Caenorhabditis elegans: one gene and its partners. The protein of the gene in region 2 purifies or fractionates together with the protein of the main gene of each other region. This does not show direct contact. Each region holds a gene or a part of one and is shown on either strand. Other genes may lie near its edges.

Evidence for each region.
Region 1: the proteins of dpf-4 (region 2) and uroc-1 fractionate together in Caenorhabditis elegans (co-fractionation; one large-scale study listed by BioGRID). This does not show direct contact.
Region 3: the proteins of dpf-4 (region 2) and aco-1 fractionate together in Caenorhabditis elegans (co-fractionation; one large-scale study listed by BioGRID). This does not show direct contact.
Region 4: the proteins of dpf-4 (region 2) and R05C11.2 fractionate together in Caenorhabditis elegans (co-fractionation; one large-scale study listed by BioGRID). This does not show direct contact.

What each region holds. Positions count from the first base shown.
Region 1 is NC_003282.8:16,535,115-16,545,325, reverse strand, and holds uroc-1 (putative urocanate hydratase), read left to right. Parts: upstream 1-2,576; 5' UTR 2,577-2,619; intron 2,620-2,958; exon of another isoform or gene 2,959-2,979; intron 2,980-3,002; 5' UTR 3,003-3,003; coding exon 3,004-3,129; intron 3,130-3,407; exon of another isoform or gene 3,408-3,432; intron 3,433-3,872; exon of another isoform or gene 3,873-3,899; intron 3,900-3,929; coding exon 3,930-4,201; intron 4,202-4,247; coding exon 4,248-4,389; intron 4,390-4,435; coding exon 4,436-4,564; intron 4,565-4,568; exon of another isoform or gene 4,569-4,589; intron 4,590-4,600; exon of another isoform or gene 4,601-4,621; intron 4,622-4,917; exon of another isoform or gene 4,918-4,938; intron 4,939-5,168; exon of another isoform or gene 5,169-5,189; intron 5,190-5,555; exon of another isoform or gene 5,556-5,576; intron 5,577-5,875; exon of another isoform or gene 5,876-5,896; intron 5,897-5,956; coding exon 5,957-6,249; intron 6,250-6,316; exon of another isoform or gene 6,317-6,337; intron 6,338-6,520; coding exon 6,521-6,862; intron 6,863-6,914; coding exon 6,915-7,036; intron 7,037-7,116; exon of another isoform or gene 7,117-7,137; intron 7,138-7,241; and 17 more.
Region 2 is NC_003281.10:5,855,731-5,863,104, forward strand, and holds dpf-4 (Peptidase S9 prolyl oligopeptidase catalytic domain-containing protein), read left to right. Parts: upstream 1-3,577; 5' UTR 3,578-3,615; intron 3,616-3,882; 5' UTR 3,883-3,901; coding exon 3,902-4,260; intron 4,261-4,317; coding exon 4,318-4,816; intron 4,817-4,953; coding exon 4,954-5,570; intron 5,571-5,624; coding exon 5,625-6,081; 3' UTR 6,082-6,178; downstream 6,179-7,374. Other genes in the region: alh-9 (Putative aldehyde dehydrogenase family 7 member A1 homolog), read left to right, coding at 1,479-1,685, 1,735-2,192, 2,241-2,966, 3,015-3,219; dnpp-1 (Aspartyl aminopeptidase), read right to left, coding at 6,261-6,354, 6,402-7,208, 7,258-7,374.
Region 3 is NC_003284.9:11,336,925-11,344,778, forward strand, and holds aco-1 (Cytoplasmic aconitate hydratase), read left to right. Parts: upstream 1-2,949; 5' UTR 2,950-2,951; coding exon 2,952-3,042; intron 3,043-3,221; coding exon 3,222-3,390; intron 3,391-3,440; coding exon 3,441-3,578; intron 3,579-3,625; coding exon 3,626-3,695; intron 3,696-3,867; coding exon 3,868-4,676; intron 4,677-4,724; coding exon 4,725-5,013; intron 5,014-5,060; coding exon 5,061-5,639; intron 5,640-5,719; coding exon 5,720-6,238; 3' UTR 6,239-6,403; downstream 6,404-7,854. Other genes in the region: Receptor-type guanylate cyclase gcy-9, read right to left, coding at 269-450, 500-606, 651-780, 834-945. UniProt on the Caenorhabditis elegans protein: Catalyzes the isomerization of citrate to isocitrate via cis-aconitate. Has probably no RNA-binding activity.
Region 4 is NC_003282.8:2,055,430-2,061,811, forward strand, and holds R05C11.2 (DUF38 domain-containing protein), read right to left. Parts: upstream 3,683-6,382; coding exon 3,567-3,682; intron 3,519-3,566; coding exon 2,774-3,518; intron 2,728-2,773; coding exon 2,449-2,727; 3' UTR 1,949-2,448; downstream 1-1,948. Other genes in the region: R05C11.4 (Protein shisa-9), read left to right, coding at 337-449, 499-665, 1,241-1,279.

The DNA of each region.
Region 1 (10,211 bases), on a different chromosome or scaffold from region 2:
TGGAGCTCCTCAGAATCCAAGTGGTCCAGCAGCACACCTCAAAAAATTTTTTTGGTATTCAAAAACTATTTTTCAACAGCCTACAATATAAAAGAAATAAATTTAACTTTTATATTCATTCACAGCATGGAGCATAGAACTGACAATGAATAAAGCAAAGAATCATGTTCACTTTCATAAGATCTAGTTGAAACTGTCAAATCCCACGCTTCTAGAATTCAAAATTATGCAATTTTATTATGCAAATTATATAGGTTTTTCGTAGATTTTTGTTTTTTGTCCAAATTATTAATGTACTGAGCATAAAGAAATTGCACTTGTACATAACAACTAGTTGAAACGGTTTTTTAAGTTTACAGTCTCACAGACAGTTTCAGCTGAATTCGCGATTCTGAGCTTGGTTTTCATTTCAAAATTCAATTTTTATTATTAGGGTTCATTCTGTTTTTTCGGGCAAAAAGGAGTTTTTCAAAAAATTGTATTTTGTAGTCGTAAAAATTAATTTAAAAGTTATAATTTTTTTTGGGTTCAGAGCTCAAAAAAAGTTTTTTTTGCCGTAATGAACTAAACGGAAAAAGTCTTAAAAACTTTTATAAAAGCTAGTTGAAACCTTAAAAAACGGTGCAAGAATTGAAAAAAAAAACTAATTTCATAGTTAAGATAGAAGTCGGGTTAGCAACCGAACAAAAAAAAGAAATTTCTTGTACATAAGCTGAAACGGTAATTTAATTTTTTTTTATTTTTAGGATGTTCCCGATGAAACATAATTTAGTGGAGCTCCGTCATGTTCTGGTAGTCCAGCAACATACCTAAAGTATTTTTTGTATTGTTTTTTGTTTTTGGACGAATTTTAATTTTCAGTCGGGGAGTTTAAAACAAAATTCGTAGTTTTTTTTTTTGGTTCTTTTACTAAGATTTTTACTAAATCAAAAACAAATGCCATTTTTATAAAAACTAATTGAAACTGTCAAATTGTAAAAATCTGTTTTTTTTTTCAAACATTGTGATTTAATTACAAACTTGCAGTGCCGTTTACATTCCATATTTGGATTGGATTAGAATTGGATCTTCCATAATAGGTAGGCGCGGTTTCAGGGACCTGACGCCTGCCTCGAATCGCATTTTTACGTTTTTTTCTCATTTCAATAATTTTGTTGAAAATCAAATTAAGATATGAAAAAACAAATAGTTCGTGTATGTTTTAGAATAAGGCGCGTATTGAGGCAAGAGGCAGGCGGAGATCGCCTTAAGGTCAGGCAGGTGGGAATTTGAACGCCTTCATGGAAACCTTAGTTTTTGTAATTAACAAGACATTTTGTAATTTACAGCAAATATCAGAAAAAGATTAATGAGAAATAAGAATGTTCACTAGTACATAGCAGCTAGTTGAAACTGCGATTTTATTTTATAGTCTCACGTTCAATTTGAGCCAAATTTGCGATTCTGAGCTTGAAGTAAAAATTGTGCAGGTGGTTTGGGTATACCGTGAGACTATCCAATAAATTTACAGTTTCAGCGTGTTGTACATAAGAACACGCTGAAACTGTAATTTAATTGGATAGTCTCACGGTCAATTTGACCCGTGTTTCGGGTGTTCCCGTAAGAAACATAATTTTCTAGAGCTCTATCTTGTACTGGAGCTCCTCAGAATCCTGGTGGTCCAGCAGCACACCTGGAGGACTAAAGTGCTGAACTGTTCTCTTAAATGTTCTGTTTTTTTTCGGGCCAAAAACCAAAAGAAAACTATATTTCAAAAAAAAAACTTTTTTATTTTTATTTTTGATCAAAAACTTTTTTTGGTAAGACCTTCCTCCTGTATTTTTTTTCAATTTCAAAAATTCTGCAAGAATTCAAAATGTTGTAATTTTAGTCGCTTCAGTGAGGAAATATAAAACTGCATCTACATAGCAACTAGCTGAAACTGTAATTTTTTATTTCATAGCCTCACGGTTAATTTCCACTAAATTCGCGTTAAATCCAATGTTCTATTTTATAATTTTTTATGGATGCTTTAAGCAAAATTTGGTATTTCTTTTCGAAATTCTTCGGACCAAAAAACAAACAAAAAACAGAAAAAACTGTTTTTCCAAAGATTTTAATTCGTTTTACAGTTTTAACTTACAAATGTGATGTAGGTAGTAAGCAACAAATAAATTGCAGTTTTATAACAACTAGTTGAAACGGTCAAATTTATAAGCTCTGAAAGTTGTGTTTCCAATAAAACTCTTAATATATATCACCGATTTATAACAACTAGCGGAAACAGTAACTAAAAAATTAATTTTATAAATAATTTTAAAGTCCCAATGTTCTATTTTCGAATTCTACCCAATCGCGAGATTCTGCATTCAGATCTTATCATCTTTCTCTTCCAAATACACACACACACACCTTGAAACTAACCAATAAAAATGCAATCATCCGACCGTTTCGTCGTCGTCAAGGATCGTAACCTGGAACCAGAAGACGAGAATCATCAAAACAGAGAATTTTATGGCGGTGATCTATTGGGCGGGAAGGAACATACCACGTGGGAGAAGGGGGAGGAGAAGTCGAACATTCACGAGAAATCTTTCATTGCTGATCAGAATAAGTTCGGTTTTGTTGGCAAATTTTGAGGTTAGTTTTTTGATGAGTGCCGAAATTTTACCGAAATTTGGAATTCGGCAATTGTCAATTTTATGAACTATACCAATAAATTGTATTAAAACTTCTAGAATGCTCTAGAAAAATCTGGAAACTACTAGAATTTTCTAGAACAAAACTGGAAACTTCTAGAAATTTCCAGAGAAATCTATAAACTTCTGTAATTTTCTAGAAAAATGTGGGAACTTTAAGAATTTTTTAGAAAAATCTGGTAACTTCTAGAATTTTCTAGAAATTTTTTTTTAAATTTTATTTTTTAAAAATTACTGTTTCATCACATTGAGAAAATGTTTTTACTGTTGATTTTTCTAATTTCGTATACTGTTGACTCGGTTTGTGAAGACTCAATTTTCCAGCATGAACATCCCATCTCTCTTCGTCGACCCATTCTCTCCGCTCCTCGAGCATCCAACGGAGCAACGTGCCAAGAATGTGGCTCACGCACCAAAGCGTCCGTGTAATCTTACACAGACAGAGAAAATGGTAATAAATTTATCTTTGAAAAGATAAAAAAAATGTACTGTTTCATTAAAAACGTTTAGGCACTTGACTTGGAATTTTTTCTTTTCAAATGAATTTTTTGAAACTGCAAAAACAGTTTCATTGTTTCATTGAGCGCTTTAAAGAAGACTGTGAAACATAATCTTTGACAAGTTGGCTGAAAATGAGCCTAAACTAACAAATTTTTTAGAAAAATTTGGCTAAACTCTGAAATTTTTTGCCTAGTTTTTAATAAAATTAGCTTTTTTTTGTTGCATCAAGAAGTTTAAATGCTACACTGACTAACTAATAGAACTTTTTACAAATTGAAATGCAATATTTGGAACAGTGAACATTTTTACCTTTAATTTTTCAAATCTACTCCTAATTATGGTAAACTATTTGCAATGAGATCAATGTTATAATTTATTGTTCCGACATCTCCCGGGTTGCACAGTGTTCTCTGTGCTCGGCGCAATTTGGGAGATACCAATTAATTGAATGAAGTTGTTGTGCCAATTCTAGTTCAGAAAAAAGTAAGAGAAGACTGTAACAAAATTTACAATTTTTTTGCAATTTTGGAGCAGTTTTTGAAGTCGGTAGGCTATGTAGTTTTCGAGATCAAGAACAATCAAGAAGATCAAGAATCAGATCAAATTTTAATTTAGGAGCTGAAAAGCTGTTGGCTATTAGTTACAAAAGTCTGTTTCACTTACTTGATAAAATACAAGTGGAATTCCAAAATTTATTGTTTCGAACTTCAATGCAGGTCCCAACCAGCTTCAACTATAAAATTCTTCCAGCTCGCCGTCCGCAATGCTCTCCGCTACATTCCAAAAGAGCATCACGTCCTTCTAGCCACCGAGTTCGCTGAAGAGCTCAACACCTATGGACACATCTATGGGTATCGGTTCATGCCAAACTTTGATCTATTCGCGCCGCCCGTCTCGGAGATCGGAGCTCATTGCGAACAAGCATCGGCTATCATTTTGATGATTCTAAACAATTTGGACAAGCGGGTTGCCCAGTTTCCACAGGAATTGGTGACTTATGGAGGAAATGGTCAAGTTTTTAGGTTAGCATGGGAATCTTTCTGAAATGCTTGAGAAATGATATTTCAGCAATTGGATCCAATTCCGTCTGGTTCTTCGTTACCTCTACACAATGACTGACCATCAAACTTTGGTGCTCTATTCCGGACACCCATTGGGCCTATTTCCATCAACCCCGGACTCGCCAAGAATGACTGTTACTAATGGAATGGTAGGCCTTTGGAAACTAGGATGCTTCGTACATTTTGACATTTCAGATGATCCCGAGCTACTCGACAAAGGAGCTGTACGACAAGTATTTTGCATTAGGAGTGACGCAGTACGGACAAATGACTGCTGGAAGTTTCTGTTATATTGGACCACAGGGAATTGTACACGGGACTACGGTAAGCCGTTAAATGGAGTTTGGCATTAAAACACCGTATTACCGTCAAATTTAATGAACACACTAAAACAGTCAAATTTATTTTGGAAAATGGGCAAAGCAGAAGGTTTTCAGTATACAACGGTTTTAGATGGAATTTCAAAGGCAAAAATTCAAGGATTTCAAGATTTTTGTTTTTTTTTCTGAATATGATTCTTGTCATTTATATAATCCAAACTGCACCAATGTAGTAGAGAAGTGACTCAAAGAAAACATGTTATTTCTAATAACTAACTCAGCCCTAAAATATACGGACACTGTGAAACATTAAATTTTTGTAAATTTTATTTTTTTTTTTAAATAGTTATATAATGAACCAAAGCTGAAGTTTTGGCATTAAACACCTTATTACTGCCAGAATATATGAACACACTGAAACAGTAAATTTTATTCTGGGATATGGGCTACACAGAAGGTTTTCAGTATACAACGGTTTCAGATAGTATTTGAATGATTTTTGTTAAGTTTTTGTGTATTATTCTAGTTATTTTATAATCCAAACTCCACCAAAGTAGTAGAGAAGTGGCGTCAAGAAAACTTGATATATTGCTTTAATTTATAGCGGTGTTCTCTTGAAAACCTTCCTAATAGCTAACTCTCTAAGTCCTAAAATATGTAGACACAATGAAACAATAAATTTCTGAAATTTGTAATTTTTTTTTCAAGAGTTACATAATGAACCAAAGCTGATAATATTTTGTCCCACTGAAAAAATTTACTTACTTCAACTAACCACAGTATTTATTAAAGAGTGATAATTTAACAAAAATTTAGTTCCAGACACTTAGAAGATGACAAAATTTTTGATTTTAGCTGAAAATGAGACCTTTTTTATCAGAACTTTGAACCGCCATAACTTTTTTTTTTGAGAAATTTTCAAAATGTCTCGTTACGAAATTCAGTAGTTTTTGGGGAATCTTGGGTCGGAAAAAGCAAAATCTCAGATTTCGGTACTCCACCTTAAATAGAGTCGAATAGCTATCTTACAAAGCCCTAAAATATGTAGAAACTGTGAAAAAATAAATTTTTGTAAATTTTATTTTTATTTTTTCAGTAGTTACATAATGAACCAGAACTGATAACATTTTTTTTTAATTTGAATTTCGTAATTTTCTTAAGGTTTTTCAAAATTGACTTATTAGAAGCAGAAAGTTGAAAGTCTTTTCACTTTATAATATTTTAAAGAAATCTAAATGATTCGAGACCAGATGCAACAGATTACAGCTTTTCTACCCATATAGAAAAATAGTGACGTCACTATATGAGTTTTTCTCGATCTATTCTTCTTGTCCGATTAATTTCATCACAACTCTCCTGAATTTCTGAACCCCCTGAAACAGTAAAAATTCTCCAGATCACAGTCCTCAACGCTGGTCGTCGTATGGGACTGGATTCCCTTGCTGGTAAGGTTTTCGTAACTGCAGGACTTGGAGGAATGAGTGGAGCTCAACCAAAAGCAGCTAAGATTGCTGGATGTATTGGAGTTATTGCGGAAATTAGTGATACTGCATTGTTGAAACGTCATCAACAGGGATGGTTGGATGTATATTCGAAGGATCTTGAGGAAATTGTGAATTGGATTAAAGAGTACAGAGAGAAAAAAGAGGCAATTAGTATTGGATATTTGGGGAATGTTGTTGACTTGTGGTGAGTTTTAGAAAATTTTACTGTTTCAGAAAGTTGTTAAATTTTTTTATGAAAGTGTGAAAGGCGATCTACGGAGCAAGAGGGAAAATAATTAAAGGAAACGAGAAAAGCGGAAAAAATTGTAATACAAATAATATATCTCATAGTTTCGGAACCAAGATTTTTTTTAAATTACAGAATTTTTTACAAAGATTTTTCACAATTAATAAACTTGGTAAAACATTATTCACAAAAATTCTAGACAAAAAACTATGAGTTTTCAAAATTCCAGGGAACGGCTCGCCGAGGAACCGGAATGTCTTGTAGAACTGGGAAGTGACCAAACTTCTCTCCACAATCCATTCCTTGGAGGTTTTTACCCTGCTGGACTCACTTTTGAACAATCCAATCAAATGATGACTTCTGATCCTGTAAAATTCAAAAAACTTGTTCAAAACTCTTTAATCCGCCAAATCGCCGCCATCGACAAGATTGCTGCAAAGGGAATGTACTTCTGGGATTACGGTAATGCTTTCCTTTTGGAATGCCAGAGAGCTGGAGCCAATTTGCTCAGAGAGGATGCTCAGGATGATAAATCGTTTAGATATCCAAGTTATATGCAGGATATTATGGGGTAATAATTATTTGAAAAGAGTACAATTTAAATAAAATAAATTCTGTTTCAGAGACATCTTTTCAATGGGATTTGGACCATTCCGATGGGTTTGTACTTCTGGAAAGCCGGAAGATTTGAGATTGACTGATCAGACAGCATGCAAGATTATTGATGAGTTGAAGGATACTGATGGTGAGTGCTTTTATGTTGTAACAAAAAAATCGACTGTTTCACTATGGCTATATGTATGTTCACTATTTTGAGAAATTTGATGGGTTCAGTGTGTGTATCTTTGAAATTTAGTACTAATCTCATAAAATTGAGCATTTGTTGGCGAGAAATCATATATATGCTGTTTCATATTGTCCATAAAACTGCCGACGAATTTTGACTTTAATTTTTAATATTTGTTAGGAAATTTAGGGATGTGAAGCTGTTGAAAAAAAAAAAGAAAAACGAATAGCCAGTGTAATATTCTTGAAACCGTAAATAACTACTAAATAAAATAGCGTACTGTTTCGAGAAGTTTATATAATTTTCGCTTTTTGAAAGAGGTTATTCCGGAAATATTGCTAAAAAAAAGCAGAAAACTTCTACAATTTCGCATAGTCATTAAAGTATGTTCGATTATTTTATTTTATTAATTTTGCTGAATTAAAAAATAACATATTAAAGGTGGAGTACCGAAATTAGTGACTCTGTTTTCTTAGACCAAAATGAGTCCAAACCTACCGAATTTTGTAATGAGACGTTCTGAAAATTTCTCAAAAAAAAAAGTTATGACGGTTCAAAGTTTTAGAAAATAAGGCCCATTTTCAGCTAAAATCAAAATTTTTTCCAACTTCTCGGTGTCGCAACGTCTGGAATTGAATTTTCATTTATTCATCACTTTTTAATAAATATTGTGGTCATTGATTGGGCGTTTATTCGTTGATTTAACTACATTTATGGTCTTTGGGGCACAAATAAAAGTTACATTTTGTGCCTCACTGACCATAAATGTACTTAAATCAACGAATAAACGCCCAATCAAAGGCCACATTATTTATTAAAAAGAGATGAATAAATAAAAATTCAATTCCAAACGTTGCAACACCGAGAAATTAGATAAAATTTCGATTTTAGCTGAAAATGGGCCTTATTTTCTAAAACTTTGAACCTTCATAACTTTTTTTAAAGAAATTTTCAGAACGTCTCATCACAAAATTCGGTAGTTTTGGGCTCATTTTGTTCTAAAAAAACAGAGTCTCTAATTTCGGTACTCCACCTTTAAGAGTAGAAACATGTAGTTTTAGGGGAACTCATCAGGTTATTTATCAAATTTATGCTTGGAAAAGTTGAAAGTCTACCGAAAATGTCTTTTCCGCTGAAAAAAATTAACATCGTTCCCGGAAACCCGGGATATGTCGTACCATGATGAACAATTCACAAAGTGTCGACCGCAAAGCAAGTATACCAAAACGAGAGATAGGAGATGCGGTTTGAAAACAAGTTGAATTTGAGAATTTTTCACTGTTTCCAACTTTGCATTTTAATTTGTAACGTATTGTATTAGACAATTTGTAAAAAATTATGTTTTTTATTATCTTCAAAATACTATGATCCTGAATGAATTATTTGAAATGGGTACCCTTAACTTTAACAAATATTCGCTCTTAAAAATTCTGAGAAAATTTGCAAAAAATCACCACGTCTTCTTCTTGAATGGGTACCACTGAAAATTAATTGGGTTGTTATTTTTATTCCGAAATATACTCACACTGCTGCCAAGTTTTGAAACTTTCTGTTTCTAGCAGAGACATTGATTTTTTCATTTTGAGAACCAAAAATCGAATCATTATTTTTTGCTAGTTTAATAAGGCTGAGCAAATCAAACCACCAACTCCAAATTTCAAAGCACATTTATCATGTTTCATAGACTCTGTTAAACCAACGTTTCAGTCCCCGAATACGTGAAACAGCAATATTTGGACAACAAGAAATGGATAGAAGAAGCCGAGAAAAATAAGCTCGTCGTTGGCTCACAGGCACGGATTCTATATTCGGATCGTGCTGGAAGAGTTGCATTGGCTTCTGCATTCAATGAGCTCGTGAAATCTGGAAAAGTGTCGGCTGCAATTGTAATTTCAAGAGATCATCATGATGTTTCTGGAACTGATTCTCCATTCCGTGAGACTTCAAATGTTTATGATGGAAGTGCTTTTACAGCTGATATGGCTGTACAGAATTGTATTGGTAAGTGGATAGGGGCTACATATTTAAAAAAAAACAACAATTTATAATTTTTCAAAAATTTCACTGTTTCGCATTGTTCACAAAAATGAAATCAATATTGAGTAAAACTGATCCACAATGACTGTTTCCTTTCCATTTCAGGTGACTCATTCCGTGGTGCTACATGGGTTGCCCTTCACAATGGTGGAGGTGTTGGATGGGGTGACGTCATCAATGGAGGTTTCGGTATTGTTCTTGATGGCTCAAGTGATGCTGCCCGCCGAGCTGAAGGAATGCTCAATTGGGATGTACCTAATGGAGTTACTCGTCGTTCTTGGTCTGGAAATGCAAAGGCTCAGGAAGCAATTCAACGTGCTGAAAAACAAGTTGATGGGCTTAGAGTTACATTGCCAGTGGAAGCTGATGAGGAATTGTTGAAGAAGTTGAAATTTTGAATTTTTACTTTGATAAATTGAATTTCTGAAATTAATTTTTAATTTTAAAAAATACTTCGTTCCAATAAAAGTTTATTATTGTGCTTCCTTTTTGCCCAAGTAATGACCGATTTTCAGAGCAAAAGATTACTGTTTCATTTAAGTTATAATTCTGTTATGTCATACCGGTACCAGTTTGGTTGTACCTTTAAAACTTTGGCACACATTTAATTATTTCAAACTTTAAAAAATGTGAGTGATGTTTCAAGTAGCCCATATAGGCAAGACTGCTGGATTGGACGTGATTTGTTTTTTTTTTCTAAAAACCCTCTCTTTAATATGTACTTATCTCTGATTTGTGTTTTCACGGATTGATTTATTACAGTGTCGAGTATACACAGTAAAATTCACTGTTGATAAAATATAGAACTTCGATATTCAACAATTTTCAGGTGGTGTATATATATTTTTCCACATTGCATTAAAGGCGAACTACCTTTTTAAATACATTTTTCGAAAAAAATGAGATTTTTTTCGAACTTTTTGAAGCAGAAGTTTTCACAAAACATTATTGTTTTAGTCTTCACTTACAATTTGTAATAGCAATGCAAAGAGAAAGTCAGTACTGTCTAACAGAACTCGCATCAAATTGAAATGCAACCCGTGAAACAGTGAACATTTTTGAAAAATTTCCAAGCAACTCTCTTGCGGAATCCGCT
Region 2 (7,374 bases):
CAAAAACTAAAAAACGGAGAAATGAGATTGGAAAACGATTCAAGAGGAAAATAGACACGCATAAAAAGGTTCGAGAGCATATTACAATTCAAAAAGGTTCTAAAATGTATTATTACATAACTTTTTAAATAAAAAATAAAGACTTTCAACAGAAATCCTTGAAAAACAATGATTCTCGTTTGAATTTATTCTAGAAAATAAATTCGCTTCTAAAGGCGCACACAATTTCGCAACTGGGTCTCACCACGCAGAGACATTCTACGCTTTTCGGGGAGGATTTACGCGGTGTTTCAAAATTAGGTTTTTCATTATTTACATTGTTCCGCAGTAAAAATGCCCCAATACACCCTTTTCGGGAATAAGACGATGCAAACGATGCGCGGCCGCTGCCAATGCAGCATCAGTTGCTGCAAAAGCAGCTAAGAAGGTAAGCGTTTTTATTTGAAAAAAATTACCGGGAATTCAAATTCTTTGCAAGTTTTTCCAAATTGGGATTTATTTGAAATTGCTCAAAAATGTAATGCATTTTGCTTAATACACTCTACAGTGAAAATAACATTTTAAAACATTTACAATTAAGTTGACACAATAATTCCATGTTGTTAGCTTTCCCGTAGTTAAAAATTGTGCGAGAGATTGAAATTTGTGCGAATATTCGCCTTTTCAACGAAACATATACAAACTAAGTGGATCTGTGTTTTTATTTGAATTTCTGGGAATTAATTTTATCCTGAAGTTATGTATAAGCCGAATAGCTCTTTTTGTGTCGAGCAAGCGACTGCAATTTTCCACAATTTCCATTTCACAAATTTTAGTGGTCACTGCATTGTGTTCTTCTTTATCATGGTTGTCTTCATATCATCATTGATTCGGAAACTAAATATATATCAACCGGCTGCACGCCTTCTTTGCCGCGAATACGCAGAATACTACTATTCCGCAGATCACGACTGAGAAAATGATATTTATGACAAGGGAATGAGTTAATATTAATAATCAAAGAATTATTATAATTATCACGAAGTGGTTTCATATTTTTAATAGTCACGTGACTCGTCATTTCTTCGTTTTTACCTCGGACTGGCATGCCGCATTTTTTTTTTCATGAGCTATGAGCGCATTTTTTGAAAAATGTTTCTGCAATCAGATATATAAAACGTTGCCTGCCATAAAAACACAACTTGTAACCGCTGTAAATCATTAGCCTTGTATCATGTTCCACGTCATAAAATTTACAGCATTCTATAGTCTTATAGATATTGATCTGCAATCTGTCCTTGAATTCCTTGATTAACAATCAATTTCATCTCAGTTTTCGTCGTCATAAACAATCTGCCCGTGTCTCGCTCCGCCCATACATTTCATTCAATCTCCTTCGAACATTTTTCAATTCATTCTTGTTTTTTGACCACTAACCTCTTCGTTTTCTAATACCTTCTGTTTCAAAGCGTCTAACAATAATATATTTTTGTTTCCAGATGAACCGATTGTTGAGCAGTGGAATGTCTGCAGCTACCTTGCAGACCAGAATGGCGTCGCAATTGCTGATCAACGATTCAAAGTACGGATTCCTGAAAGAGCTTGGTCTCACGGAGAACAACGCCGGAGTCTTTCATGGAAAATGGGCGGCGAGTGGACAAGTTGTTCAGTCATTTGCTCCAGCAAATAACTCCCCTATTGCTAATGTAAGTTTCAAAAACATACCCTAAACGTTTTAAAACTTTCAAATTCCAGGTACAAAATGGAAACGTACAAGACTATGAAATCGCCATCTCTGAAGCTAAAAAGGCTTATAACGATTGGTGCGAGGTACCAGCACCACGACGTGGAGAAATCGTCCGTCAAATCGGAGACAAGCTCCGTACGCAGTTGCAAAACCTGGGAAAGCTCGTGTCCCTCGAGATGGGAAAAATTTCTGCCGAAGGAGTTGGAGAAGTTCAAGAATACGTCGATATTTGCGACTACGCTACTGGACTCTCTAGATCACTTGAAGGAAAAATCTTTCCTTCTGAGCGTCCAGGACACGCTCTTCTCGAACAATGGAATCCACTTGGAGTTGTTGGTGTGATTTCGGCTTTCAATTTCCCATGTGCAGTGTATGGATGGAATAACGCTTTAGCTCTTGTCACAGGAAATTCTGTTGTCTGGAAGCCAGCTCCATCCACACCATTGACAGCTATTGCTGTGACCAAGTAAGCTCGCTTATTTCATAATTGTAATCACTAAATAACTATTTTCAGACTTGTCGAGGAGGTTCTTGTTGCCAATAATGTAAATCCAGCTCTCTGTTCCCTTGTCTGTGGAGAGGGTGATGTCGGTCAAGCTCTTGTGAAGGATAAGAGAGTCAATCTAGTTTCATTCACCGGTTCATCAGAAATTGGAAAGATCGTTGGACAACAAGTTCAGGCTCGTTTCGGAAAGCTTCTACTCGAGCTCGGTGGAAACAATGCTATCATTGTTAACGAGGATGCTGATTTGAACATGGTTGTACCGGCAACAGTTTTCGCCGCCGTTGGAACTGCTGGACAGAGATGTACAACCACGAGAAGACTCATTGTTCACGATAAGGTTTACGATCAAGTTCTCGAGAGATTGAAGAAAGCTTATGCTCAATTTGAATCAAGAATCGGATGTCCATTGGATTCCAACACAATTATTGGCCCACTTCACAACCAACAGGCCGTTGGAAAGTACAAGGCTTCAGTTGCCGAAGCAGTTGCTTCTGGAGGAAAGATTGAGTACGGTGGAAAAGTTCTTGAGAGGGATGGAAACTTTGTTCTCCCAACAATTGTCACTGGATTGAAGCACGATTCTCCAGTTGTTCTTCGCGAGACTTTTGCCCCAATTCTCTATGTTCTGAAGTTCTCAACCCTCGAGGAAGCTATTGCAATCAATAATGAAGTTGATCAAGGATTGAGTTCTTCTCTATTTACAACAAATATTCAAAATGTTTTCAAATGGATGGGGTGAGATTTTCTGAAATTGTGAATTTAAAACTAACATTTAATTTTCAGACCAAAAGGAAGTGACTGTGGAATCGTCAATGTCAACATTCCCACATCTGGCGCAGAGATCGGAGGAGCCTTCGGCGGAGAAAAGGAGACCGGTGGAGGTCGCGAATCAGGATCCGACTCCTGGAGGCAGTACATGAGACGATCCACCTGCACGATCAATTACAGCAAGGAACTTCCTTTGGCTCAGGGAATTAAATTCGAATAGCTTAGTTTAGATTTTCTGTAAATATTCATTTCTCATTCAATTTGAGATGTTTTTTTTTCATGCATAATTATTCTCAGTTCCGTTCTAAAATTGCGTGTAATTCAACTCTTGTCCTCTCCTTTTGTGATTTGAATTTTTGTGCCATATCATTCCAAATGCTTAGTTTTTTTTTTAATGTTTGTTCAATAAACTTCCTTTTTTATTCATTCCACAAAATAAAGTGCAACATATTTTCAGCATATATGTCATAAAATTGACGAGACTGGTGAAAAACCGTACGCATACTTGAAAACCGATAAGCTGATTGGTTTCATCACTTTAAGTCATTTCCTAAAACTATAAATTCAATTTCACGCAGATTCTTCTCCGAATCTTCCGCTTGTTTTCTGCCCCAACGCAAGTTTTACTTTTTTTAAATACAATTATTATAATGATGGCATTTTTGTATGTTTAGGTGATGCCTGTTTTATAAATTAAGAGTTTTTTCTAAAAATGTTTTTAAACAACTTTAAACTAATCCACTTAGAAAGTCTGTCAAATTGAATTTTATTGATTGTTTTGGAAACAAACAAACCTCACAATTACAAAAACGCTTTCATTGTAAATATTGACGAATTTATCTCGAATATATTTATTTTTCTCTTAAAATAACTATTTTTACAGCATAAAAAGTGCCCGAAAAATGGCAACTGAAGCTGTCTACGGAAGTTGGGATAGTCCGATCACACCAGATCTCTTCGGAAAATGTAATTGCAAGTCTATCTGCGAGATGCAAGTTGTCGGTGGCAATGTCTACTGGATTGAACAGAATTCAGTAACTGGAAAACGAGAGCTTTACTCAAAACCAACGAATGGAGATACTCGTACACGCTGGGCTGATGGTCAATCTGTTCAAACTGCAATTCACGAGTACGGAGGAGGTGCTCTACATGTTCTTGCTGATGGATCAGTGCTGTTTGCTACGATCGAAGGAGTTTTCTATCAAAAGTCGGCGGATTCCGGAGTTGAGCAATTGGCAGAAGGAAATAATCGAATGTTTAGGTCAGGGATAATTTAAATGGTGTATAACTTTCAAAAATAAATAAAAAACATTTTCAGATTCTCCGACTTCTCAGCCACTGACACCCATGTATTTTGTGTTAATGAAACCCACCAAGCTGATGCAAAATTTCCCGAAAATCGACTAATCTCCATCGACCGAGCAACCAAGAATCAAAACGTCATAGCTCACGGAGCCGACTTTTACGCCTATCCAAGAGTCTCCCCGGATGGAAAAAAGCTTGTCTGGATGCAATGGAGCCTTCCAAATATGCCATGGGACGAGACATCCATCCGAATGGCTGATCTCAAAGGTGGAGAATCCAGCAATGAGGTGACGCTGAAGGACGGAACTGGAAAACAAATCAACTATTCCGAACCAACTTGGGATGGTGATGAGCTTTTAACTGTGAATGATAGCACAAACTGGTGGAATGTGTATAAATCAGCTGCAGAGCCAAATTCCGTCGAGAAGAACCTGAATCCAATTCAACGAGAGATCAGCTACCCGCTTTGGCAGCTTGGTTTCAGAAATTATGTTCTGAATAAAAAATATTTGGTGAGAATTTTAGATTGGAAATTCAAAACATTCTTCAAATATTTTAAACCTAAGTTTACAATTTTCAATATAATTAGTTGAACTAAACACAAAAATTCGAATTTTTAAATTGACCTAATGAAATTTAAATATTTCAGGTAATGAACGCAGACGGAATTTTGTATGTCCGATCGGGAGATGTTACTGTAGAGATTCCAACTCCAGGCTATACTGTATTTGGATATCTTTCACTCGACCAGAATGGTTCTGATCTTTTCGCAATTGCTTCTGGACCAAAACGAGCTTCAAGCGTTATTTCCATCGATCTCGCGAACAAAAATTTCCCATTAAAAGTTCATCGCGAATCCCGAGATTCTTCGGAAATCGACGCTCTCGAGATTTCGGAACCAGAAGAATTTGTGTTCAAATCGGATGGAGTTGATGTTTCTGGTTATTTTTATCCACCGAAAAACTGTTCATATTCTGCTCCAGCTGGAACACTTCCTCCAGTTTTACTTCTCGGACATGGTGGCCCGACGGCTCCAGCTCAGAATAATTTGGATCTTAAAAAACAGTTCTTCACGTCGAGAGGTATTGCTGTTTTTGATGTAAATTATCGAGGATCAACTGGATTTGGAACTGAATTCCGGAGAATGCTTTATAAAAATTGTGGAGTAGCTGATAGAGATGATATGTTGAATGGAGCAAAAGCACTTGTTGAGCAAGGAAAAGTGGATGCCGAAAAAGTTCTGATCACTGGAAGTTCATCTGGAGGGTAGGAATTTAATATTATAGTCATTGTTAAAGTTTTATAAATATTTTTATTCAGGTATCTGATTCTGAGCTGTCTTATCTCACCGAAAAATATCATAAAAGCAGCAGTTTCTGTGTATGGAGTTGCTGATCTATTGGCTTTAGATGAAGATACTCATAAACTGGAAAGATGTTACAATGAGATGCTTATCGGAAAATATCCTGAGCAAGCGAGCATTTACGAAGAAAGAAGTCCCATTTATCATATTGATAAAATTAGAACTCCTATTGCATTCTTGCATGGAAGGGAGGATACGGTAGTACCGATGAGCCAATCTATCACAATGTATGAGAAGATCCGTGCTAGTGGAGTTACAACTGCTCTGATGCTTTTCGATGGAGAAGGACATGGATTTAGGAATGGACAAGTGATCAAGGAAAGCACCGAAGCCACTTTCTACTTTTTGATGAAGGCCGTTGGAATTGAACCATCAATTAGTTCGAAGATCGAAATTGTTAATCCGAAGCATTAGATTTGTTTTTGTTTAAATTGTTATCTATAAAATTTCAGCTTTTAAAAAATGCATTGCTTTATTTATTTGAAAACCAAATAAATTATAGAAATTAATATTCACAGAGAAACTGAAGATTGGATATCACGACGCGATTAAATAGTAGAAATTATGATTGGGAAGGATCAACATTGATTTGCCTATTGCATGTTGGAGAGGACAGTTGACAGACGTTCGTAGAATGTAGAGTAGAGAGTGGTGGCCTGGTAGATGCTCGAAGTGTCGGCAAACTCGCTGAAATCAAGAAAATAAATGATGTGATTTAAAAGTTAAATCCCTACCGAATCGAGTGCATAGCCAACTGTGGGCATCCTACATCGACAGTCTGCAAGCCAAGTTTTGTGGCAAGAATCGGTCCAACCGTCGATCCACAAGGAGAATCATTGCGAACGACGACAACTTGAAGAGGAACTTGAGCTTCGAATGCAACTTGCTTGAGAGCAGCGTGTGTGGTTGAAGTTGTTGCATATCGTTGATTGACGTTTACTTTGACGACGACTCCACCATGGAATGCTGGACGATGGTTCTCTTCGTGTTTTGCCGAATAGTTTGGATGCGTGGCATGAGCTTGATCTGCAGAGATGAGCATGCTCTTTCCGATTGCTTCTTCGAAAGCGGTTGTTGAGCCTCCAGCAGAAAGACGGCGGAGAACGAACTCCGTGAAAGAAGAAGATGCTCCCATCGCGGAATCCGATCCTACTTCCTCGTTATCGAAGCATGCGGCAATACGAATTTGTGGGTCATTCTTGAATGACTCTCCAGTTAGAGACTCGAGAAGTCCACTTATCGCAGTGTATGTTCCAACTTGGTTATCAAGACGAGCTCCAGAAATGAATTCATCCTCCATTCCAACAATCGCAGCCTTGTTTGTATCGTAAAGGTAGAGATCCAAATCAACGATGTCTTCTGGCTGACATCCAGCTTCCTTCGCGATTAATCCGAGGAATTGGGGATGATGATTGTTGGTAATGTTTCGTGGATCGGCAAAACCAGTAGACTCGGGTTTCTGTGGTGCATTGATTCCAGCAGCAGCGAAGGTTTCCAGAATCGGGCGGAGCTCAGTTTCCGTGTTTGGTTTGAATGTTGTTCTGAGAAATAAATTGCAAAATTAGGACGATAGTGACAAATTTCAAATACCTGTCGGTCTCCAAATGAATCGCCAAATTTGGAATGAAAAGAACTGGCTTTTTCACGTCGATCAGCTTGTGTTGAAGTTTCTCTCCATTCTTGACAATAACCAATCCAGCCACCGAC
Region 3 (7,854 bases), on a different chromosome or scaffold from region 2:
CAATATACAATGTAAAAAACTCAGAACTGCGGACAATTAAAAGAAGACAGTGGTCAGTTAATATTTTTGAAATATTCCCCAGGAATCGTTTCACAGGAGAATATTTACTGTAATAAAATGAAATAGACAGTTTAATTATGATAAGTTTCAAAAAACTACATTATTGCTAATGAAAAACCTATTAGAATCCTGATGAGTACTTAAGTCAAGCAATGAAAATATGGAATATTGGAGCAAACAAGTAATTGTTTATTGTCAAACGTCCTACCTGGTCCCAATTGTTCAGATTTAAATATGTTACAGTCGCCTTTGCCATTTCACTTGCAGATGTCAGTGCAACTGAACCGAGTGTGGGAAATTGGACACGATCAGAAAGAGCGTCATCTCCAGACATATGAGCAATTATTGGAACGTTCCACCTAGGCGCGAGTCTTCCAATAACCAACATTTCTGAGAAAAAAGAATTACTAAATAACTTGAACATTCTCAAAAGCATTACCATTATTACAACCGGGTCCAAAATACACTGAAGCATTTTTCAAATAATGAAGGAAAGCAGCATGTTCAACTCCCGAATACTTGTTGCAACTTTCCATTGTAAAAACACTAAAATTGGAAAGACTTGTTTTTTTTAAATTCAAACTTCTTACGTTAAAGTATAATTTTGTGGAAGAATATTTCTCATTTTCAAATCGTCTGCGCACATTTTTAGAACATCTGGTTCGTGTGCTATAATAGGGTTCGTGGGGTGAAGGTGACCTATTCGAACAATCCCTTCTGCTGAAACAAAACAATAATTGTTTTATATGTATTTTATGAAAAAGATTGCTCACAACTAAGTGTAGTTTTCACATGTTGATTGATTTCGTCATGACTGATTTTACTGATAGATCTTCTTGACTCCGCAAGTAGCAAAGAAGAAATGAAAAATAAATATAAACGCATTTATCATCTCATATGAGGGGCATTTATCCCGCAAACAGTAACAATTCTTATATATTTTTTACAGGAATGTGTTGATGGAACGAATTCCAATATATGTAGAAGTAAAATGTAAAAAATTCGGAGTAGTTGGATTGATGAATCTCCGAAGGAGGTGTGAAGTCTTATGTAGCCACTCACTTCTTATCATGCCGGAAGGGCCCATCGGAAGTGGATAGATGGGGTTTAATGGAAAGAAGGCAAGTGTGTGTCACAACAAGCGTCGAATCCTACGTTTTTCTGATGTACACTGATGACTAGGTTGTTGTGAATACATTAATAGGATCTCAGCGTAGAACTATGACACTGTCTAATGCAACATCATCGAAACACACGAAAATACTTTTAAAAAAACAAGCCGAGTTTTTTTTTTGGTAGTTTTCAGAATTTTTAACAGTGTTATTCATTTACCAAGTGTACTCCCTATTAGTTATACAGTGTGTAATTTTCTTGCATTTCTAAGAGTCATCCTAATATTAGAACTTCAATCAGTATTTCAATAATTCGGGACAAGACAAGGCGTACCTTGTAGAATTTTCAGATAATTCTTCAATTCCTGAAAAAATAAACCTAGACTTGTTCAAAACGTTTACACATGTTAGCACTTGTCTTGCTTTTTACAACTTAAAAGGCTACTAGAGGTAATACGGGGAATGATTGTGAGACCAATTTTAATAAAATACGTTTCTATGAATCTCAACTTGGGATCAAATAAAAATATATATGCAAAGTCTTTCTGAATAAAACATGGTTATACAATGATACGCGGTAAACTATGAAAAACGGTAATTGTAATATTATGAACCAGCCGTGGTCCGCACCTTCGGCGCGGCCCCCGACTTCTAGGGCTGAAAATCAATTTTTATGAAACTACCGTAACCCTACAGTATTCCTACCGTACCACTATTGTACCACTACAGTACCCCGACTATATCCCTACACTAACCCCAACTCACTATCCCTCCAGAAGTCAAAACTTCACAGACTACAAAGACTACATAGACTACAAACTATGGACACACAGAATAAGCGCTTTATATTATATATAGTAAATTATCATGAAGAACAGAGACATATGAAACAAAAATATCAATCAAAAAACCAACCAGCTTGTGCTCAAACATCTTCTGTTTTTTTAACTTAGTAAATTTTAGTCACGCTAACAGAAATTCCGTACTCTATGAATTTTGTGAACTACAGATTCTAGTGATTCTAGATTCTAGTGTATTAGTTTAGTTATAGCATGGATTCGATTGCATTTTTTCAAATGTTTTTTTTTTTGAAAAATAAAACGAATTTTTGCTCTTCAGTTTCCCAAAGGAATTTCCACCTCACCATCAATCTGTGCAAAGTTCTCCCACTTGATAATCTTTTTTAAATGATCTGATATCAATGATAACAAAAGATAAAAAATATCGGACACAAATCTCTGAATTTTCTTTTTATCTCTCAATATGTCTGAGAGCGCATTGTTTCAATTCTCAAAAAAACCACACTGCAACATTGTCGTAACCTCTTGGGTCAAGTACGCAACGTGTATGCAGATCGGCCCTCTTCTTCTCTTCCCACCGCACACTATTTCACTGTGCACATTTACCTTTTTTGACTGTTTCTTGAGTTCTGAGATGGTATCGTTTTTTCTCGCCGCCTTTTTTCTCGACATTAGCCTTCTAGAAACACTGGACAACGACGCAATTTCGTCCTAGCTGATATGAAAGATGACTATCTTCGACCGACCTTGGCACACACACACACATACACAACATACACAAAACGCTCTCACATTCAATACAGCCACACACACTAAGCGCGCTCAGACACACACAAAAACGGACAGGTCGACTACACCGATTCGGCACGCCTCCATTAGTTTTCCTCGCATTCTCTTTTTCATTACAATGCACTTTTGTCGTTCTTTTCTATCGAAATCCTTTTTTTTTTAAATTTTTTCCATATCTAACTTTCCAGATATGGCTTTCAACAACCTTATCCGCAACTTGGCTATCGGAGATAACGTCTACAAATACTTTGACTTGAATGGTCTCAATGATGCTCGTTACAGTAAGTATAACTATTTTACATCCTATTCTCAATCTATCTAAAATATATCTGCATATATTCAATTTTGGAACTTTTGTAAACGAAAAAAAAAACAGCGAATTTCGACGAGCAAGAATAAATTCATTATGTTAAAGTCATATATAAATCATTTTCTTTAAAAACCTTCCCAAAATTTTCAGACGAGCTTCCAATCTCCATCAAGTACTTGTTGGAAGCCGCAGTTCGTCATTGCGATGAGTTCCATGTATTGAAGAAGGACGTGGAAACCATTCTTGATTGGAAAAACAGCCAGCGTAACCAAGCTGAGATTCCTTTCAAACCAGCACGCGTTATTCTCCAAGATTTTACGTGAGCTTGAAAATAAATTACCAAATTTATGTACATCAAGCAATTTTCAGTGGAGTTCCAGCCGTCGTAGATCTTGCCGCTATGCGTGACGCCGTTCAAAATATGGGTGCTGACCCGGCCAAGATCAACCCAGTATGCCCAGTTGACCTTGTCATCGATCACTCCGTGCAAGTCGATCACTACGGAAAGTACGTTCTGCGCAACCTGGTTTATACATTTATTGTATTTTTTTCAGCCTTGAAGCCCTTGCCAAGAATCAGTCCATTGAGTTTGAGCGAAACAGAGAACGCTTCAACTTTTTGAAGGTAAGGAAAGGTGAAAATGCCACTTTCAGAGTTTCACTGTCACGTTTTACTCTCCCCATCACTTTTCGGAAAATCACGCTATGCATTTGATTGCCCTTATCACTACTTTGTTCAATGAACACACAAATATTCAGATAGCTTAAATGAAATTGTATTATCAAATTATTTTCAGTGGGGATCCAAAGCTTTCGACAATCTTCTTATTGTACCGCCAGGATCTGGAATCGTCCATCAGGTTAATCTTGAATATCTTGCCAGAACAGTGTTTGTTGGAAAGGATGGCGTTCTCTACCCTGACTCCGTCGTTGGAACCGACTCCCACACCACAATGATTGATGGAAGTGGTGTTCTTGGATGGGGTGTTGGAGGAATTGAAGCTGAAGCTGTGATGCTCGGACAGCCAATTTCCATGGTTATTCCAGAAGTTATTGGATACGAATTGGTTGGAACTCTCAGTGATACCGTTACCAGTACCGACTTGGTTCTTACAATCACAAAGAACCTTCGTGATCTCGGAGTTGTTGGAAAGTTTGTTGAGTTCTTTGGAACTGGAGTTGCATCGCTCTCCATCGCCGATCGTGCAACAATTGCTAACATGTGCCCCGAATATGGAGCAACAATTGGATTCTTCCCAGTCGATAGCCGTACCATTGACTACCTCACTCAAACCGGACGTGATACCGATTATACTCAACGCGTGGAACAATACCTCAAGTCTGTTGGCATGTTCGTCAATTTCACCGATGACTCCTACCGCCCAACATACACTACCACTTTGAAATTGGACCTTGGAAGTGTAGTGCCAAGTGTCTCCGGACCTAAGCGTCCACATGACAGAGTTGAGCTTGCTTCTCTGGCTCAAGATTTCTCCAAAGGGCTCACTGATAAGATCTCCTTCAAAGCTTTTGGCCTTAAACCAGAAGATGCCACTAAATCTGTCACAATTACCAACCACGGAAGAACCGCAGAGCTTACTCACGGGTAAGACTATAAATTAGAAGTACATGCAAAAAATAATGTTTCTTCCAGATCCGTAGTTATTGCTGCCATCACATCCTGCACAAACACCAGTAACCCAAGTGTCATGCTCGCAGCTGGATTGGTTGCCAAGAAGGCTGTTGAGTTGGGATTGAATGTCCAACCATATGTGAAAACATCCCTCTCTCCAGGATCAGGAGTCGTCACAAAATACCTGGAAGCATCTGGTCTTCTTCCATACCTTGAGAAGATTGGATTTAATATTGCTGGATATGGTTGCATGACATGCATCGGAAACTCTGGGCCACTTGATGAGCCAGTAACAAAGGCCATCGAAGAGGTATTGTTGAAACTACTGTTTTCTTTTCAAAATAATTGTTTATTCAGAATAACCTTGTCGTTGCCGGAGTTCTCTCTGGAAATAGAAACTTTGAAGGAAGAATTCACCCACATGTTCGTGCTAACTATTTGGCATCTCCACCTTTGGCTGTTCTTTACTCGATCATCGGAAACGTCAATGTTGACATTAACGGAGTTCTTGCTGTTACTCCTGACGGAAAGGAAATCCGACTAGCCGACATTTGGCCAACCAGAAAAGAAGTTGCCAAGTTTGAGGAGGAATTCGTGAAGCCACAATTCTTCCGCGAGGTGTACGCTAACATTGAGCTTGGATCCACGGAGTGGCAACAATTGGAGTGCCCGGCTGTCAAGCTTTACCCATGGGACGATGCCTCTACTTACATCAAGAAGGTTCCATTCTTTGATGGAATGACTAGCGAGCTTCCATCACAATCCGATATTGTAAACGCACACGTTTTGTTGAATCTCGGTGACTCGGTAACCACTGATCATATTTCTCCAGCTGGATCAATCTCGAAGACCTCTCCCGCCGCCAGATTCCTTGCTGGACGTGGAGTAACGCCAAGAGATTTCAACACTTATGGAGCTCGCCGTGGTAACGATGAGGTAAGAGTTTATTCATTCAATATATGATTTTCTAAAAACTTTGAATTTAACAACACATCACGTTTTTTTTTAAATTTCAGATCATGGCTCGTGGAACATTCGCCAACATTCGTCTTGTTAATAAGCTTGCGTCGAAGGTTGGTCCTATTACACTCCATGTGCCATCTGGAGAAGAGCTCGACATCTTTGACGCTGCTCAAAAGTACAAGGATGCCGGAATTCCAGCCATCATTCTTGCTGGAAAAGAATATGGATGTGGCTCATCTCGCGATTGGGCTGCAAAGGGGCCATTCCTCCAAGGAGTCAAGGCTGTTATCGCTGAAAGCTTCGAAAGAATTCATCGTTCCAACCTGATTGGAATGGGCATTATTCCATTCCAATATCAAGCTGGTCAAAACGCTGATAGTCTCGGACTTACTGGAAAAGAACAATTCTCAATTGGAGTTCCAGACGATTTGAAGCCAGGACAGCTCATTGATGTGAATGTATCCAATGGTTCAGTTTTCCAAGTCATCTGTAGATTTGACACTGAAGTCGAACTCACCTATTACCGCAACGGAGGAATCCTCCAATACATGATCAGAAAGTTGATCCAATAAACTGTTATTTTAGCTTAAATTTTTGAAAGTCAATTTTTTCTATTTTTAGATAACTATTTACTTTTCGATGCATCAATCCTTCTCTATTTTCTGTGATATTTTATGAACATGTTTGAAGTCCAATAAATTTGTGATTTGGAGCAACGAAATAAATCAATACTTTTTATAATTGGGCTATAAAACATGTGGATGGTCAAATTTATTTTAGTTTTGGCGTCTCTGTTTTGCTAAAACCACTTAAATTCGTAATATTTTACTAAAACTCAACAAATAACGTATTTCTACTATTTATAGGAGAAAGAAATGTGCTTCCAGTTTGACAGTGTTTAGGATATAACATTTTGCAACTTTTTCTTAAAGGTCGTCATCACTAATTGTATTTTTTGTTCTCTCAGTCATAAGAGTATAAATAAATAAGAAAACATCTTCATTGAGAACAACAAAATTGGGTGTAAAAGCTCAAACATTCTAGTTGTTTGAACAAAATGAACAGAGAGATTACGGTATTTATTTGTACTGAACTGACTTTTTATAGACTAACATTTCAGCAGTTCATTCGTACTATTCAGTCCCATTTAAAAGTGCACACTCACCCAATAAAATCTCAGTTGCCCTATAGCTAACATCACTAAAGTAATATGAGACCCTTGCCAGCGCAAAAGATATTTTTATTTCAAAATAAGTAAATTTTGCATAACTTTACGTTCTTTGCCAGAGAAATGAATGAAGACTGTAATAATTGACCGCTTAGCCGTTCATCAAACAAATAGAAGAGTCGGGAGGAAGTATAATCTTTTGTGAGTAAATGCAACACCTTTCCATTATTAGTCGACACTTTTTGATTTGGAATTAATTTCTGAAGCTTTCCCTCTACAAAATGTTATATTATTCTTGTGATAAAATTTCTCATGTTCCACCAAAGGAACACGCATGTAAAAAATTTACAATCCATGTATCAAGGTTATTCACGCCATTTTTGTGTGTTTTGCGATACTTGACAAAGAAAAATCAAGAGGTGTTTGAAGCAAAAACAATTCTTCATGTTTTTTGTTTTCGCTCCATTTTGAAAACGAATGCAACAATCGGTTAAGCCTCTTTTCTTTCACACAATATTTCGTTTTTGCGGACTCATTACTTTTTCAACTTCACTCATCAAGTGTCGCTTTTTCGTTTTCTTTTCCGGACTTAGTAAGTCATAACTCTCATTTTCTTGATGACCGCTAACTGCAACTGTCACTTTAAATTAATTAATGAATGAAGTTCTGCTGCATTCTTTTTTTCATTCCCTACTCCATTATCTTGTTTTTTCGATGCATATTTCGAATTATTTGTAAAATAATTATATTTAAATATCTTGAATATTAACTTGAAAAAACTAAACCTTAATAAAAAAAAATTATCGTTATTCAGTATTTGTTTTAAGAAAGTCAAATTTATATATATATATATATATTTTCAACATCCTTATTTGTAATTTTCAAAAATTAATTGAAAAAAAAAACCCAACAACTTATTTTTTTGTCATAGCTTTTATTTCAGATATTTTTTTTTGTTTAACAATATTTTTCCGGAAAAAAAGTCACTAAAAACCGAAAGTCATAAACCTAAAAATCACT
Region 4 (6,382 bases), on a different chromosome or scaffold from region 2:
TTAACACCCATCTCGATATATTTTGCTTGATTTTGAAAATTACACGACCGCAACGCGACGCGACCGCAACGCGCCTAGCCTAAATTTGCTCCAATCTCTCTGAAACTCAACTTTTTGAAAACTCGAACACGTGAAGCAATATATAACTTTATTTTGAATTGATTTATCACTTTTCTTATTAGTGTCTTGAAAAAACCGCGACGCGACCGCCTCGCACAGCTGAAAATCATAATAAAGCTAACATAGGAAATATGGGGCTCATTTTGAAGCTGAAAACCACAGAAACCTAATAAAAGTGCTGAAAACTCATGAAATTCATAATTGAAATATTTTCAGCTACCTGGCACTAATCATCTTTGGCTCAGTACTTGTCATTTCTCTACTGGTAATTGTGACAGCAATAGTTTGCAAAAAGATTCCCGGGTGTCCAATGTATCAGAGTATTCATAGTAAGTTCTTTCTTTTTCACGGAAAGTTTGAAATTTCCACCAATTTCAGTGATAACTCGATCGAATGAGTCACCATCTGCGCTCTACCGTCCGGTAGATCAAATTCCGCCAAAAATGTACGAGGCACCGCCTCCCTACGAGTGTTTTGTACCCCCGCCGGTGGTTGCCACGTCATCAACGGATAATAACGAATGGAATTGCATACTGGAAAATGAGGTATGTGGGAGGAGTTTTGATTTTGGCGCCAAAAATTATACATTTAAAAAATTATTAAAATTTCAAAAATTGGATTCGAGAAATATAAATTAAAAATTTTTAAATTTGGCGCCGAAAATTAAAAATGCGAAATTTATTTGAATTCAACGCAAAAATCATAAAGAAAATTTTGAAATTGCACTAAAAGTTTAAAAAATCTCGAAATTTTTTAAATTGGTGCCAAAATGTAGGAACTTAAAATTTTGAATTCAAAGTCAAAATTTAAAACTTTGAAAATTTGGAACTTGGCTCCAAAAAGTGATTTTTCAATTTGGTGCCAAAACTTATTAATTTTACAAATTTCAAATTTGGCGCGAAATTCGAAAATTTTTGAATTCTTACATTTTGCCGCCAAGTAAAATAAAATTCGTTTGTGCCAATTTTCAGATTTTGAATTTTATAATTTTGTCGGTTTTTTCAAAAATTTCGAGTATATAGTTTTTGGCGCCGAAAATTCAAAAATTTTCCATTTGGCGGTAAAAATTTCAAATTTCGCACGGAAATAGTTACAAATAAAAAAAAATCAATATTTTCAGGTAAACGGATCCCGTAGGACACCTCCTCAAATCTCCTAATCTTCCTTTTTTTTTCTAAAAAATTATAAAAAAAATCCTCTCTTCAAATTTAACGGGTCTTGACACGAAGTACTCTCACATTTTAGCATGTTTTTTTTAATGTAAGATATTGAATTCCCCGCCCCCCGGATCATTTGCTCAATTTCTTCTATGAATTTATTGATTTTTTTTCAATCACCCGGCTTCTTCAATTTTTCTGTATTTTTGTGATTTTTTTCGAATTTTTTGGTTAAAAATTCATCATTATTCGGTGCTTTTTCTCATGTGCTTCTTTCAAAATTCTTCCATGTTTGTTGGAATATATGGAATTTTTATGTAAAAATCTTCGATCTCTGCGCTTTTTGCTTCAATAAAAAAATTTAATACCGCGGAAACATTCGTTTGAAGAAAATTTCTTAATTAAGAAAAAGTTCAATTATCACCTTTTCCAGCAAGTTTCCAGCTTGAAATTTTTTATTTATTTAATTATTCAATCATTTCTCATAGTGAGACTTATTATTGATTTATGCTTTCATTTTGTCAAAGTGCGTCCATTTTGTATATATATATATTTTTTTTTTTTTTATGTTGCACAATATTTTCAGGTTAAACAAATATTTAGATACATTTAACTTTACCGTAAAATATGAAAAGGTGCACAGTAAATTGAGAATAATTAAGAAATAAATGTTTAAATTTATTATAAGTGAATTTATTTATTTATAAAAATAGTACGTGAAATATCTATATCCACGCCATTAAAAATTATATTTAAACGTACAAAAGATTCATGCACATGAAAGTATTGTTTAAATTAGGGTTCCCAGCTGAGTGAGGCGCAAAATGCGGGCCTCACGCCGGCCTCACGCCGGCCGGCCTTCGCCTTCGCCGTTCGCCGCTTTCAATAATAATGACGTGAATTTTAAATTTTAATTTTCAAAAATTCGTTGAAAATTTAGAAAAAAAATATAAGAAATGAAAATAAAAGTTTATGTGTAATTCAGTGAAAGGCGAGAGTGACGCCGTGAGGCCGGCGCGGCGACCGCTGAGGCGGGCGAAGGCGCCTTTGCGGCGACCTCATGGGAGCCCTAGTTTAAATCAGGTGAAAAATTAATATTTGAAAAAAAAATCATTAGGGACAACTTTTCGTCCCGTTGGCGAGGAACAGGGAAGTGACCTTTACAACAGCTCTAGCACCTAGCCGGACTAGATTCCCTCGGAATAGCCGGACTAGATTCCCTCGGAATACGATTAAACATGAATTTTTTAAGATTTTGATAATATCGAATTTGTAGATCATCTGTGTCGTTCATGCAATTGAAAAACCAAATGCTAGGTTGATTATTTGTAGAATCGGTAACTATGCGAAACGGAATTCCCAAAAATCCTTCTTGAAATATAGAATTATTTACGTCACTGTTCACAAATGTGACCTTGAACTGGAGAAAGTCCGGTGAAACTAGGAACATCTGAAATTATTTTTTTTTAAAAATTACATGAGATATTCGAACTCACATCTCTCAAATATATAACATTTTTCAATGATAACGAATCCAAAATTATGTCAACTTTTCTGAAGTGAACAAGATTTTCAACATCACACTTGATAACACGCTTAATAATTGTCAACTCTTTCGCATTCCTCCATTGTTCCATGACCAAAAACTCTTCAATGCTCCATACATCACTTGCAGGTACGTCGAAAGATGTTCCAAACTCAATTTTGTTCAGCTTAGAGGGATCCACGGATTGGAGCAGTTGCACTATGGTTTTTTGGTTTCTTGTTGTGACAACCAACTTTTCCACTGGCAGCAATCGACCCAGCGAGGCGTGCAAATCTTTGAACGATTTCAAAAATCGATTCTCATTCTGGTCCCAGATTGAATGACTTTCTGTTTCCTGGGGATTCCCCTCAATTTCATCCATGTATTTTTTTTCTTCTTCCGTAACATCCTTGAAACTTGACTCGCTGGTTTCATCAACTTGCATAAAATTCATTTTAAGTTCTTCCAAAGCAGATTTTTGATTTTTCAAAATAAGGAACAAGTCGTTTGAAAAGTTGCCGTAATCCAACTCGCTAGATTTTCTGGATAATCTTGAAGCCTTATATGAAACTTTTCGGTTTGTGGATTCGGTAAACATCTCAAGAAGTGCGCACCCAATGCTTTGAACATGAATGCCGATTTTGAGTAATTTATGGTCTGGTTTGATAAGGTCGATGCACTGACGGCTTCCATAAGAAATTTTACGGAGCACTTGTCTGAAAAAATAAAATTCAAGCTAAAAAAAATCAAAAGACTTTACATACATATCAAAAAAATCGAGACGTTCAACAACGCTGTTCATAATCACAGTGTTGTAGAACCACAAAGTGCTTGATATCGATGAGCCAGAAACTTCAGACAAAAGCTTCGTTTCATCCATTGTCAGCTGCTCTAGCTGGTTCTGAATAGTTGCATTGTTAACAATAATTTCGTTTCGTGCAAGTATTACACTGTAGGAGAAATAAAATATGCCTGTTCTGTGCTAACTCTAGCTTTTTCTCGTGTCGGGCCATAAATTGAGCAAGATTTTGGCAAAACTTGGTTTAGGTTGCTCTTGATCTGCCACTCTTATCTAATTAGGAAATAATGTTAATTGGACATTAAAAAAGACAGAAGTGAAATGGAAGATCAGATTTTTGGCTACATGAGTTTTTTTGGGGTTACCTGGAACTTAGCAGAATAAAAAAGAATTTAAAAATGATTGCAATGTTCCTATTCGTGTATTTTTTTTTTTCGAAAGTTTTCGAAATTTTTTGTGATGTCTCATTATGAAATTCGGTGGTTTTGGACCAGTTTTAGTCTATTTAAGCAAAATATCCACAAACTCTACTCCCCCTTTAAGTTGATTCACAATTTGGAGAAAAATGCAAATTTAACGAAAATCTGAACTTTTGCCATGATGTCAATGTTATGCCGCAGTGACCGAAAGTTGAAATAATTTAATTCGCACTCTAGTTTGCATGTGGTAATTGGTACATTCAATTTCTAAGTCACAACATCTTGACAGTTTTTCCACACAGCAGGACACACGAATTCTTTTTCAGCATCAGATTTTGTCAGCTCCAAAACTGTTGTACAGGCTCACCTGCTAAAGGTCACTCTCTCGCAAAATATGTAGGAGGCAGTTATATTGCCTGTGTATCTCTACAAACTCAACTCTCTCTATACGCTCACAGGCCACTCCCGTTGTGGGGGAAAAACGGTCAAGATGTTGTGACGTAGAAATTGTAGGTACCAACTATGCTCACTTACCAATTATCAACATGCATAGTCGGTACCTTTTCACTAGTCAAGAACATTGATCACATAGAGTCTACAAATTTTCTGACCGAATATATGTTAATTGGAAATAAAAGAAAAGAGCCAAACTTTCGACGCTTTCACTAATTAAATAATTTTTCTGGGCTTCTTTCCGTTAGTTTTTCGTTGTTCTTTTTGTTGCATAGATTGCATAGCAAAAATAATTTATTCATAGGAAAATTGACAACTGACAAAATTGCCGAAAAAAAATCTAAATAACCCCTATGCAAATTTAGCTATTTACCTGTTAAGTTTTCCAGGTTTTCATAAATTCCCCAAATCCAAGTACTGCTCTAAAACAAATAATCTAAAAATTGTCCAGCTTGAAAAACAAATACCCATCTTCCCAACGTCTTCCAGGAAATTCTAACCGCAATAATATTTTCCTGCATTGCATCCAGATGTTAGTTATTGGAAATATATGAACATGCGAAACGGAAACCAATATTTTCTTGGAACATCTTAAAATGAATGAGATTAGTTTTTCTTTGTATAGAGCTTCTTTACACCTATTACCCTACTCATATGAGTTGATTAAATGTATGGGTACTGTAAGGGTACGGTAGTTAAACTCAAAACTGAACTGTTATTATAATTCTTGCCTACTAATATTTACTGTTGAATTTAGTCATTACGGCCCATTTTCTATTATTTAAAGCAAAAAAATTGACTCTACTCCAGTGGTGGGCGGCAAACGATTTTTTCCGGCTAATCAGCAAATTACCAGAATTGAAATTATAGGCAAATCGGCCAACCAGAAAATTGCCGATTTGCCGGAAAAAACACTTCCGGCAAATTGATATCCGACAAATCGGCAAACCGGCAAATTACCGGAATTCAAAATTCCCGGCAAATCTGCAAACCGGCAAATTGGCACAATTGAAAATTCCCGGCAAACCGGCAAATTGGCCGAATTGAAAATTCCCGGCAAATTCTCTAACCGGAAAATTTCAGGCAAGTCGATTAACCGGCAAAGTGCCGGAGTTAAAAATTTCCGGCAAATCAGCTAACCGGAAAATTTCCGGCAAAGTACCGGAGTTAAAAATTTCCGGCAAATCGGCGGAATTGAAAATTCCCGGCAAATCGGCAAATTAGCGGAATTGAAAATTTCCGGCAAACCGGCAAATTTGCCGAATTGAAAATTTCCGGCAAATCAGCTAACCGGAAAATTTCCGGCAAAGTGCCGGAGTTAAAAATTTCCGGCAAATCGGCGGAATTGAAAATTCCCGGCAAATCGGCAAATTAGCGGAATTGAAAATTTCCGGAAAATCAGCAAACCGGCAAATTACCGGAATTTAAAATTCCCGGCCAATCGACAAACCGGCAATCTGGCGGAATTGAAAATTCCTGGCAAACCGGCAAATTGGCGCCATTGAAAATTCCCGGCAAGTTGGCTAACCGGAAAATTACCGGAAATTAAAATTTTCGGCAAATCGGCAAACCGTCAAATTGGCGGAATTTAAAATTCCCGGCGAACCGGCAATTGCCGGAAATGAAAATTTTCGGCAAATCGGCAAACTGGCAATTCGCCGATTTGCCGTTTTTGTCGGAAAAAAATTTGCCACGCACCCCTGATCTACTCCACCTCTAACAATGACGTAATTCTGATAGATAATAAAAATCTGTTTTTTTTATTTCTAATTTTAAATTCAATAATCTCAAATCAGCATGTTTTCAAAATTACATTCAATACTCGAAACCTTGAAAATCTCAATATCAAAAAACCTTTTCACTTCTCCATTTTTTATGTGCATAAGCATAAACAACAAACATTTTTGCC